Rattus norvegicus: one gene and its partners. The protein of the gene in region 1 purifies or fractionates together with the protein of each later gene. This does not show direct contact. Links are inferred from orthologs where the notes say so. Each region holds a gene or a part of one and is shown in the gene's direction. Other genes may lie near its edges.

Region 1 (4,041 bases):
TTCTCTGGGGGGAAATTCCTGTGCGGGCGTGTGTGAGTGTGTGTGTGTGTGTGTGTGTGTGTGTGTGTGTGTGTGTGTGTTCACTTTTTTTCCAATGGGCTAAATAAGAGGAAAGCACAAATGTCTTGTTTAGAATACACCTATTCTAGCCTGGTGGTTTACACCATCCCTTACCAGTGCAACAGCTGGCCAAACTCCGTTGCTGGACTTGCTGACCTGCCTTTTCCAGTCCTAACTTAAAAGGGCATGGCTTTTTAAAATTTCTCCTCCCTTCTCTGGCCAACTGCCAAGATTAGCAGATTACCTACCCTCTCAAACATTAGTAAAATTGTCCCCAAGGTTCCTTTTGAGCCGTTCAAAATGTTTTGATTAAGGAGTCTAAGAATCCCCAATGAGAGAGACCCTAGTAACAAGTAGAAATTACATTCCAGTGGAATGGTGTAATGCATGTAGCACAACCTGCAGGCTGTTTTTCCATACCAAGAAGTCACCTCCAATCCAATCTATATATCTGGAAATTAAATTTAATATTGGATTGAATCTCAGAATAATGTAAACGCTACTGTTACTGCAAGTAGGTACCAGTTTGGTAACACTCTGGCTTTCCTTTGCAAAGGAAGCACAGGTCAGTCTGTTGTCTCATTTCGTTGAGTTGTTCCAGAATATAGGTGGTGTGCCTCCTCTTGCCTCAAAGTTTAGCACTCGCGATCTACTTTCAAAAGGCTTTAAGCTGCATGTCATTTGGTGTTCCGAGGAAGGCTGCCTGAGAGCCTTCCTTTCGCCCATGCATTTTTGCTTAGCCGGGCAGCAAGATCGTGAAGACCAGACCCAAACTCCTTCATCTGAAGAACCGATTCAAGAAGTTGCTGAATGCCACTGGCCCTGCAAGATTCAAGGCAGAGCTCCGTCCCTAGTACGCACTTTGTTTTAGAAACGCGTTATTCCAACCTAGTCTTTTGCCCCGGCTAAGCCGGTCCCGCCGCTGCGTCACACAGCAGGACAGCGGCACAGCCCACAGACCTGCTTCCTAGGTACCCCGCAGCCAGCAACGGTAGTCAGGTTGACAGCGCACTCAATGCGCATGTCTGTAGCCCAGCCCCCGCCTCGCCCTCTCCGGCCACGCCCATGAGGCCGCCGCCGAGGGGCGGGGCGGCCCCGCTTGAATGGGGCGCGCATTCCTGGGGGACCATGTGACGCGGCCGCGCGGCCTGAGGTAAACAAGCGCGGCCCCGCCTCCTCTCATCCGCGCGCTGCACTCCTGCTTGCGGGCGGGCGGCGCTCGGCTGAGCGGGCAGCTTCTCCAACCGTCCCCAGCGGCCGGCGCGGGGCACAGCTGCCGCAGCGTCCTGCGCCCCTGTCCCGGGCCGAGCGCGCGCCCTCCGGTGCCCTCGGACCGCCCGCGCGCTGTGGCGCAGTACGAATTGGGTCGCGGCCCGGGCGCTATTCGCGGCTCCTGACGCGGCGGCCCGCGGCGCTGAGCTCAGCGCTATTCTCGGGCTCCGGGGCACTGCGCCCGAGGGTGTGTCTCCAAGCCGGGCTCGCAGCTATAAGGGGCCGCGGGCGGCCACGGCCATGCAGCTCTACAGCAGCGTGTGCACCCACTACCCTGCGGGCACGCCGGGCCCCACGGCCGCCGCCCCGCCTGCCACCACCGCCGCCTTCAAGGTCTCCTTGCAGTCAGCGGGCCCCGCCGCCGCCGCTCCGGAGCCGGATACCGGAGAGCGCCCACCCGCCGCGGCTACCGAACCACGCGAAGCCGCCGCCGCCGCCGCCATGCCCGCCTTCTCTGCCTGCTTCGAGCGGTCCGGGTCAGCCACCGCCGCCGCCCCACCCGGCGCGTGCTGCAAGCCGCCGCTGCCGCCGCACTTCACGTCTACGGCGCACATCGCCGTGCGGGCCCTGGGCGCCGAGCGCCTCCTGTTGCCGCCACCCTCGGCTCCCGCGCCTCCGCGTCGCGGCTCGTCCGCCTGGCTGCTGGAAGAGCTGCTCCGGCCCGACGAGCCCGCGGCCCCGAACGCCGCCCGCGACGCGCCCGACAGGAACTTCCGACTGAGCGAGCATCGCCAGGCCCTGGCGGCCGCCCAGCACCGAGCCCCTGCACCGGCCCCCGTCGGCCCGGAGCCCGGGGCCGGCCCGTGGAGTGAGGAGCGCCGGACGGAGCGCAGTCCCCGAGGTTGGGACCGGGCGAGCGGTCGCAGCGACGCCTCCGGGGCTGACGCGCACCGACGGCCGGATCCCGAAATTGAGGTTCACCCCGTACCCGCACCCGCACCCGCACCCGCACGGAGCAGCGGCGATCCGACCCAGAACGGTGAAGGCGAAGCTGTAGGCGCGCCCCGGGCGGATCCCAGGGATGAGAAGCTAGCCCTGTACCTGGCCGAGGTGGAGAGGCAGGACAAGTACCTGAGACAGAGGAACAAGTACCGATTCCACATCATCCCTGACGGTAACTGCCTTTACCGAGCTGTCAGCAAGACTGTGTACGGGGACCAGAGCCTGCACCGGGAGCTGAGGGAGCAGACCGTGCACTACATCGCGGACCACCTCGACCACTTCAGCCCCCTCATTGAGGGCGACGTGGGGGAGTTTATTATCGCTGCTGCCCAGGATGGGGCGTGGGCCGGATACCCCGAATTGCTGGCCATGGGGCAGATGCTGAATGTGAATATACACTTAACTACTGGAGGGAGGCTGGAGAGCCCCACCGTGTCTACCATGGTTCACTATCTGGGTCCAGAGGATTCTCTAAGGCCTAGTATTTGGCTTAGTTGGCTCAGCAATGGACACTATGATGCAGTGTTTGACCACTCCTACCCTAACCCAGAGTATGACAATTGGTGCAAGCAAACCCAAATGCAGAGAAAACGCGACGAAGAACTTGCCAAGTCCATGGCCATATCCCTGTCCAAAATGTATATCGAACAGAATGCATGCTCTTGAAAAGTCCGAGGATCTGACAAGCCGGGGGAAATGGCGTGCATCAGTTGTGTTGGGAGAACCACACGAACTCTAACTAGGGTAATGGCACTTTTCAATTTCCTAGTAGACTGGCTTTAGGGGTAATGCCTTAATCAGTTTTTGAATGTCCTCTGAGAGCCGCAGGTTGCTGGGCACCTGAATGATGTTTCCTGATAGCTTTGGGTGAGCCTACTGCTATTTATAATTTGCTGTATAAAGTGAGCGCTACTTAATTTGCAAGCTTATGTCTCACGGTATGAATTTGTTCATTCCTGGTAGTCTATTTTCTATAAAATTGTATTTTTGCACATTTTTAAAAATGGGTGTACTTTCATCTATGACGTGTTCCAATTGCGAGAAACGGCTTTTAAGCATAATCCAGAGAAGTGCTTTCTATGAAGTTTATTTGAGTTTGTGATTTAGTAGTTAGTTTATTGTTGAAATGTTTCACAATTCTTAATTATTTCAACTGGATATTTGACACATTATGTTACCAGATGATTAGCCCATTCCATTTTGATGAAACAGACCGATTTGTTTGGGAGAGTTATTTTTTTAGAAAAGGTCCGCTTTGAAGACAGTTAAGGAAGGGATAGCTTTGGGACGATTTTTTTTTTTTTTTTAAAAAAGACAGTACCAGGCCTTACTTGAATAGAAGTCTGCTATCCGCGGATGGCAGAATGATGATTCTGTCTTCTGCTGTTTATGGAGTAGATTGTCTGGTGGTCTTGACTGTGTTCTTTTTATTCATCAACTTTGGAAAGGCGTTTATGAAATTTTGTGAGAAGTTCAGCCTCCTGCATTATACAGCTTCTTGGTTTCAACCACTATTTTTAGCAGGAGGCTATTGTCTTAATATTCTGTCATTTTAAAGTTCTTCCAAAAGGCAAAATAGAATTGACTTTGTATTATGTAAAAATGTAAACAGTTGTATGGTTTGCTGGGTCAAACAGTGTTTCCAACCAAAAAAACTCCTATATGTTGCCACTTTAACTACTTTTAGTGTATTTATTAAGTAATGCAGTTTGTACTTTTTTATTTTGTAACATTTTGTGATTTTTTTGTACAATAATGTATTTGTAC
Region 2 (3,500 bases), on another chromosome or scaffold:
CTGAGCTAGAGCTTCTCCTAGGGCCTAACCTTCAAGGCCAGGACTTGGGCAGAGTCCCCCCCCCCCTTATTTGTCTAAACCTCCTTCAGGGACTACCCCATCCTACCCCACTCCAAGGTTCCCTACCCAGAAGGTAATATCACCCCACTAGCTTCAGCACCAGATAAGCATCAAGGAAAAGAGCCACAGAAAGTGTGCAGACTCTTTAAACAATTAACAGCATCTTCCTTTGGAGAAAACACTATCTATGTTCCATGGGTCCTTCAGTGACCCTTCTCCAAGATTCAAGATGTCCTGGGAAGCAGGCCTTCAGGGCTGCCCTGCAGAGTCACTCCTTCTGCCCATGTGGGAAGGCTCACATATCTCAAGCTCCAACTCCCTGACAACTGTCCGCTCCTTCTGTTTCTCAAGCCCTTTCAAGATCAAAGTGCTTCCGGCCCACGATGCCAGCAAAGTGCGGGCCAGTGGCCCTGGCCTCAATGCCTCCGGCATCCCCGCCAGCCTGCCCGTGGAGTTCACCATTGATGCTCGTGATGCTGGTGAGGGGCTTCTCACAGTCCAGATCCTGGTAAGTCTAGGCACAGCCCCCTGCCCAGCATATATGCCCTCTGTGGACATAGGTAGGCCTGACCTCTCCTTCTCCTCTAGGATCCCGAGGGTAAACCCAAGAAGGCCAACATCCGAGACAATGGGGATGGCACATACACCGTGTCCTACCTGCCAGACATGAGTGGTCGGTACACCATCACCATCAAGTATGGCGGCGATGAGATCCCTTACTCACCCTTCCGTATCCACGCCCTGCCTACAGGGGATGCCAGCAAGTGCCTTGTTACAGGTGAGTACCAACTCTGAGTCCCTTCTCGTCAGCCCCTTAGAGTGCATTCAGTCTCCCAGCCCAGTCCTGGGGCCATGCTGGCAAAAAGTCTATACTCTTTGCCCAGCCCAGCTCCCACCACCTCTAGGTCATCTTGAACCTTAATGACCTAACTTTCTTCTCTATTTCCAGTATCCATTGGAGGCCATGGACTGGGTGAGTAACTTTTTCTTTCTTTACTAAGGGCTGGAGGCTGTGGGAGCAGCCGGGAAAGGGGGAGCTGGACATGGCCTCCACAGCCCCTGATCTGGCTTTTTCATGTGGTAGGTGCCTGCCTGGGTCCCAGAATCCAGATTGGAGAGGAGACTGTGATTACAGTGGATGCCAAGGCAGCAGGCAAGGGGAAGGTGACCTGCACAGTATCCACACCTGACGGGGCAGAGCTCGATGTGGATGTAGTTGAGAACCACGATGGTACCTTTGATATCTACTACACAGCACCTGAGCCGGGCAAATATGTCATCACCATCCGCTTTGGGGGTGAACACATTCCCAACAGCCCCTTCCATGTGCTGGTAAGCTCATGGCCATGGTGCATGTTATGCAGAATATGCCTCTTAGTAGCTGCAAGGGATCCTAGGAGCTGTCCTCAAGGAATCAGAGAATATACCTCTTAGTCGCTGCAAGGGATCCTAGGAGCTGTCCTCAAGGACTCAGAATATGCCTCTCAGTAGCTGCAAGGGATCCTAGGAGCTGTCCTCAAGGAGTCAGAGAACTTGTCCCCATGTCTGATAAACAGATCCTGGAGCCAGAGTACTCTAGAATGAGCCTTTGTATTTCCTGTAGCCTTCCAATGTGCAGGGAGGTGGTGCAGCTCTGCTTTTGACCAGAGAGGTATCATCCCTCTCTGAAGGAGCTCACTGTGTTCTTTTCTGACCTTTGGGCCACTGTCCTTAGCTCTTGTTTCTACAGGGGTGGCCCTGCAGGACAAGGATAGAACACCTGAGATACCCACCCAGGACTTGAGTCCTAGGCCATTCTGAGAGTTGGTTCTGAGATCTAGGTCCCCCCACATTGTACACCCTGTGCCTTATTCCCCAGGCATGTGACCCGCTGCCTCATGTGGAGGAGCCTGCGGAAGTGCTGCAGCTGCACCAGCCATATGCCCCACTTCGGCCTGGCACCTGCCCCACACACTGGGTACTAGAGCTTCCCACGACAGGCCTCGTCATCCTTCTCCCTACTTTCTTCATTCTTCCTTCTGTTCTGCAGGCTTGGGCCATGGTTGGGCCTCTTGGGGAATGCAGGCATTAGGATGGGCAGAGGGAGCCCAAATCTGAGTATGGCACCCCTTCTCCTGCAGCTGACGCATCTTCTGCCATTGGTGTCTCACTATTAACCTTGTTCTTTCTTCGTTCTCTCTGACTTCAGTCTTGAGGCAGGCCACACTCCCCGGCGTTCTCCACCGACTACAGCCTTCTCTTTCCTCTCACCTGCTACAGGCCACAGAGGAGCCCGTGGTTCCTGTGGAGCCTTTGGAGTCCATGCTGAGGCCTTTCAACTTGGTCATCCCATTCACTGTGCAGAAAGGGGAGCTGACAGGTAATGGGTGCACCACACGTGAGACTCTGTTGAGAACTGAGAACGCTTCCTGGCCTTTCAGCTAAGATCATTGCAGGGATGAGACCTAGGGCCCAGAGAGGGGAAACAAATTAGGTTGCGTCTCACAAGTTGGGCAGAATGAGAACTCAAGTTCAAGCCTTCTGTCTCCTAGTCCTTCTATTCCTGAATGGGCTGCTTCCCAGTGTCTGGCCTCTGGGGAAAGCAGAGCCACTTGAGAACAGGCCCTGGGACATCAGGGACATGTGTTGGGAGAAACTAGTGTCCTACCTACATGTAAGTATGTCTGCCTTTCAGGGGAGGTCCGGATGCCCTCTGGTAAAACAGCACGTCCCAACATCACTGACAACAAGGACGGTACCATCACAGTGAGATACGCACCTACAGAGAAAGGCCTGCACCAGATGGGAATCAAGTACGATGGCAACCATATCCCTGGTGAGTTGGGAGCAGGGTGAGACCACGGTAAGAGGAGCCAACACCATGTTGGTCCTGCCAGCCTCCTTTAAATACATATGTAAGCACTGCCATGTACAGGCACCAAAGAAGGTTCTGGGAAATGTGTTTCTTGATGGTAATGGGCTTCTAAGTCCATGTAGCAGAGGCACGGGGCTCCAAAATCCAAAGCTGTTGAAGATGCTGGGGGCCAACATGGCTGTGGGAAGCCCCTGTCCCTATGCTAATCCAGCTCCACCTGTCACTACCCAGGGAGCCCTCTGCAGTTCTATGTGGATGCCATCAACAGCGGGCATGTCAGTGCCTATGGGCCAGGTCTGAGCCATGGCATGGTCAACAAGCCTGCCACCTTCACAATTGTCACCAAAGACGCTGGGGAAGGTGAGGAGAACTGCCGAAAGAGGTGAGGGGACTTGCCAGGTTTGTAGGCACAGGGATAGATTCTGATCTCAGCCACTTTCGCTTACAGGGGGGCTGTCACTGGCTGTGGAGGGCCCATCCAAGGCGGAGATCACCTGCAAGGACAACAAAGATGGCACCTGTACCGTGTCCTACCTACCCACAGCACCTGGAGACTACAGCATCATTGTGCGCTTTGACGACAAGC
Region 3 (3,494 bases), on another chromosome or scaffold:
TTTTTGTTTTTTAAGTCCTAAAAAAAATACATATATATATATATATATATATATATATATATATATTTGTGTGTATATGCATGCACTGATCTTGTGTGGAAATCAGAGAACAAATAGCAGGAACTGGCTCTCTCTTGCTACCTTATGTATGTTTCTAGGTTAAACTCAGATCATAGGGCCTGGCAGAAAATGCCTTTACCCTCAAAGCCACATTGCTGGACTGAAAACTCAGCTTCTGAGCCCCTAATCCAAATGCAGAGAGCATCAGGTGAGGACATGCCCTCCTAGTGCCTCAGCAGCCTGGTCTCTTTGGTGTTAAAAATAGTGATGGCCAGCCTGGGCTATACAGTGAGACCCTGTCTAAAAAAAGTGGGGTGTGTGGGTGTATATGTGCAAACATATTGGTGTACACCTTTAATCCCAGCACTCAGAAGGCAGAGGCAGGTAGATCTCTGAGTTCAAGAGTTCAAGGATAGCCTGATCTACAGAGGGAGTCCCAAGACAGCCAGGGCTACACAGAGAAACCCTCGGAGTGCGATTGAACAGGCAGTCAATGGTACCCACCAACCTCACACATGCAGTCTCCAGCTTTGCTTGGCTTTTCCTGGGTTCACATGGTATTGCTTTCATTTTCGTTTCTGAATACAGGAAGTCCTCAAGGGAAAGTAATAGGGCAGTTCTTAGGGAAAGCCAGTCAACAGCAGCCTTGGCTCTGGGTGGCAGTGACTAGAAAGGTCCCCTGGACATGACTGCATTCTGAATATCACCAACCCAAACCCCAAGTCTGAAATGCTTCAAAAGCTTTTGAACACCATCTGTCGTTCTCAAGTGGACAGTTCCACACCTGACCTCACAAGATGGGTGGCGGGCACATCAAGCCTAGTGCATAAATCTTTGGAGGGCCGATGTGCTCCTGGACTGGTAGAACCCTTCCCCAGCCTGTGCGAAGCCCTGGGTTCCATCCACACCTCACATAAACCAAGTGTGGCTACGCACACCGTTAGTCCCAGCACTGGGTAGGCAAAGGCAGGCAGAGCTGTGAGTTGGAGGCCAGTCTGCTCCGCGTAACAAGTTCCAGGTCAGATACACACACACACGCACAGCCTTCAGGCTGTGTAAGGTCAGTATGAATCAGCATGAATGTATTTTGTTTATTCATTTAGATTTTTGAGACAGCAGGTTGTCATAGCCCAGGCTTTTGTCTGAAACCCAAGATTCTTGTGTGTCAGGTTCCCTGGTGCCGAGAATCGACACGGACCTTGGTGGCTCACTTGAAGTTTATACCATACTCTCATTCCCGAGTTGTCTCCTCATCTCTGCCAAGCCGTAAGGCTCCCTATCATTTTATATTTTATTTTATTAATCTAAAATTTTGATTGTGTTTATTTCGGGGGCAATGTATGTGCCACAGTTCATGCGGAGGTCAGAATACTACTTGCACAAGTTGATTCCTTCCAGCATATGATTCCTGAGGGGGTTAAACAAACAAAACAAGGAAACAAACAAACCCAGTGCCTTTGGGAGCTGGTGAGGGCACTCACTGCCAAGCCAGAAGACCAATCCCAGGGACCACAAGGTGGAAGGCGAGATCCTACCCGTCAGACATGAGCTGTCGCACACCTCCCATACATACCCAATAAACCAATAAATGTAATTTAAATGTAATTAAATGTAATTTAAAGTCCTTTTTTAAGAGAGGGTCTTACTATGTAGAACAAGTGGCCTGGAGCTCACAGACATCTCCTGCCTCTCCCTTCCAAGTGGCCATTAGTCCAATGCTGGGATTAAAGCCAGACTAGGTTCAATTATTTGTTTATTTTGAGACAGGATCTTATTATGTTGTCCTACCTGATCTAGAACTGGCTTATGTAGACCAATCTGGCCTTGAATTCAGACACCCTTGTTCCTCTGCCTTCCGTGGGATAGGGGATTATAGGAGTGTGCCACTACACCTAGCTATATTTTTTTTTTTAAAAATTAAAACCAAAATCAATACAGGCGCCTAAAGATACCACACTGTGTGGCCCGTGTGATGCCAGTGTATGGGTGCTCGGCCAGGAGGGCTTCCTTCTCACCTGAGCTCCCTGCAGGTGGCCAAGCAGGAGGAGTTCTTCAACCTGTCACACTGCCAGCTGGCCACGCTCATCAGCCGCGATGATCTGAACGTGCGCTGCGAGTCCGAGGTGTTCCATGCGTGCATCGACTGGGTCAAATACGACTGCCCGCAGCGGCGCTTCTACGTGCAGGCACTGCTACGGGCCGTGCGCTGCCACGCTCTCACGCCACGCTTCCTGCAGACACAGCTGCAAAAGTGCGAGATCCTGCAGGCCGACGCGCGCTGCAAGGACTACCTGGTGCAGATCTTCCAGGAGCTCACGCTGCACAAGCCCACACAAGCGGTGCCCTGCCGGGCGCCCAAAGTGGGCCGCCTCATCTACACTGCGGGCGGTTACTTCCGACAGTCGCTCAGCTACCTGGAGGCCTACAACCCGAGCAATGGCTCCTGGCTGCGCCTGGCAGACCTACAGGTGCCCCGCAGTGGGCTGGCGGGCTGCGTGGTGGGCGGGCTGCTGTATGCTGTGGGCGGCCGCAACAACTCGCCGGACGGCAACACTGATTCCAGCGCCCTGGACTGCTACAACCCCATGACCAACCAGTGGTCGCCCTGTGCCTCTATGAGCGTGCCGCGCAACCGCATCGGGGTGGGGGTCATAGATGGCCACATCTACGCAGTCGGGGGTTCCCACGGCTGCATCCACCACAGCAGCGTGGAGAGGTGAGCACCGGAGGCCCTAAGGGACAGTACGTGTTCTTGTCCCTGCCTCCACGTGAGGTTGAGCGGCTGGGATGTTTGTCCTCAGTGTCCAGAGTTGGGAAATCCTGGAAGGGGCTTCCTAAACCTATAGGAGTCACAGCACACTGAGGACAGCAGGAGTTACTATAGTATGTGAATTATGTTGTGCTGTTTATAATTAGTTAAAATGTATCATCTGAACAGGGATGTAGTTAAGTGGTAGTGCCCTGGTCTCTTTCTTGAATCCAGGGTTTAAGGTCTCATCCCCAACACTGCCATAAGGAGAGGGAGAAAAAGGAAGGCACAGGCGTGGGGTGTGACTCAGCTGGGGTGTGGTAGTGGACACCAGCTCTCATCCCAGCCCTTGGGAGGTCGAGGGAGCAGGATCGGGAGTCAAGATTCTCTTTGGCTGTATGGCAAGTTCAAGGCCAGCCTGGGATATGAGACCCTGTCTCAAAACAGACAACCCCCTTCTCCCTGTACCCCCTCCCCCCAACACATAAATTTAGGGCTTGGAGCAAGGGTAAGAAAATGAGAAAAGTTTAAATTTTGTGTTTGTAGTGCTGGGAATAGAACCTAGGACTTTGTGCATGCCAGGCCAGCCATTTACCCCCCCCCCTCCCGCCCCCGGGCTAACCCCATCCATAGCCTGAAAATGGACTTTTAAACAAATGCCCTAGGGGCCTCTAATGTTTGTGGT

The links.
Region 2: the proteins of Otud1 (region 1) and Flnc purify together in Homo sapiens (affinity purification with mass spectrometry; 3 studies listed by BioGRID and IntAct, with this or other methods). This does not show direct contact. The link is inferred for Rattus norvegicus from reciprocal best matches to the Homo sapiens genes OTUD1 and FLNC.
Region 3: the proteins of Otud1 (region 1) and Keap1 purify together in Homo sapiens (affinity purification with western blotting; 3 studies listed by BioGRID, with this or other methods). This does not show direct contact. The link is inferred for Rattus norvegicus from reciprocal best matches to the Homo sapiens genes OTUD1 and KEAP1.

The regions. Positions count from the first base shown.
Region 1 is NC_086035.1:87,167,007-87,171,047, forward strand, and holds the start of Otud1 (OTU domain-containing protein 1), read left to right. Parts: upstream 1-1,241; 5' UTR 1,242-1,572; coding exon 1,573-2,940; 3' UTR 2,941-4,041. UniProt on the Homo sapiens protein: Deubiquitinating enzyme that specifically hydrolyzes 'Lys-63'-linked polyubiquitin to monoubiquitin.
Region 2 is NC_086022.1:59,016,547-59,020,046, forward strand, and holds part of Flnc (filamin-C), read left to right. Parts: intron 1-411; coding exon 412-568; intron 569-648; coding exon 649-838; intron 839-1,009; coding exon 1,010-1,033; intron 1,034-1,144; coding exon 1,145-1,392; intron 1,393-1,918; coding exon 1,919-2,017; intron 2,018-2,319; coding exon 2,320-2,419; intron 2,420-2,734; coding exon 2,735-2,875; intron 2,876-3,145; coding exon 3,146-3,274; intron 3,275-3,362; coding exon 3,363-3,500.
Region 3 is NC_086026.1:28,047,549-28,051,042, reverse strand, and holds part of Keap1 (kelch-like ECH-associated protein 1), read left to right. Parts: intron 1-2,090; coding exon of another isoform or gene 2,091-2,102; coding exon 2,103-2,776; intron 2,777-3,494. UniProt on the Homo sapiens protein: Substrate-specific adapter of a BCR (BTB-CUL3-RBX1) E3 ubiquitin ligase complex that regulates the response to oxidative stress by targeting NFE2L2/NRF2 for ubiquitination.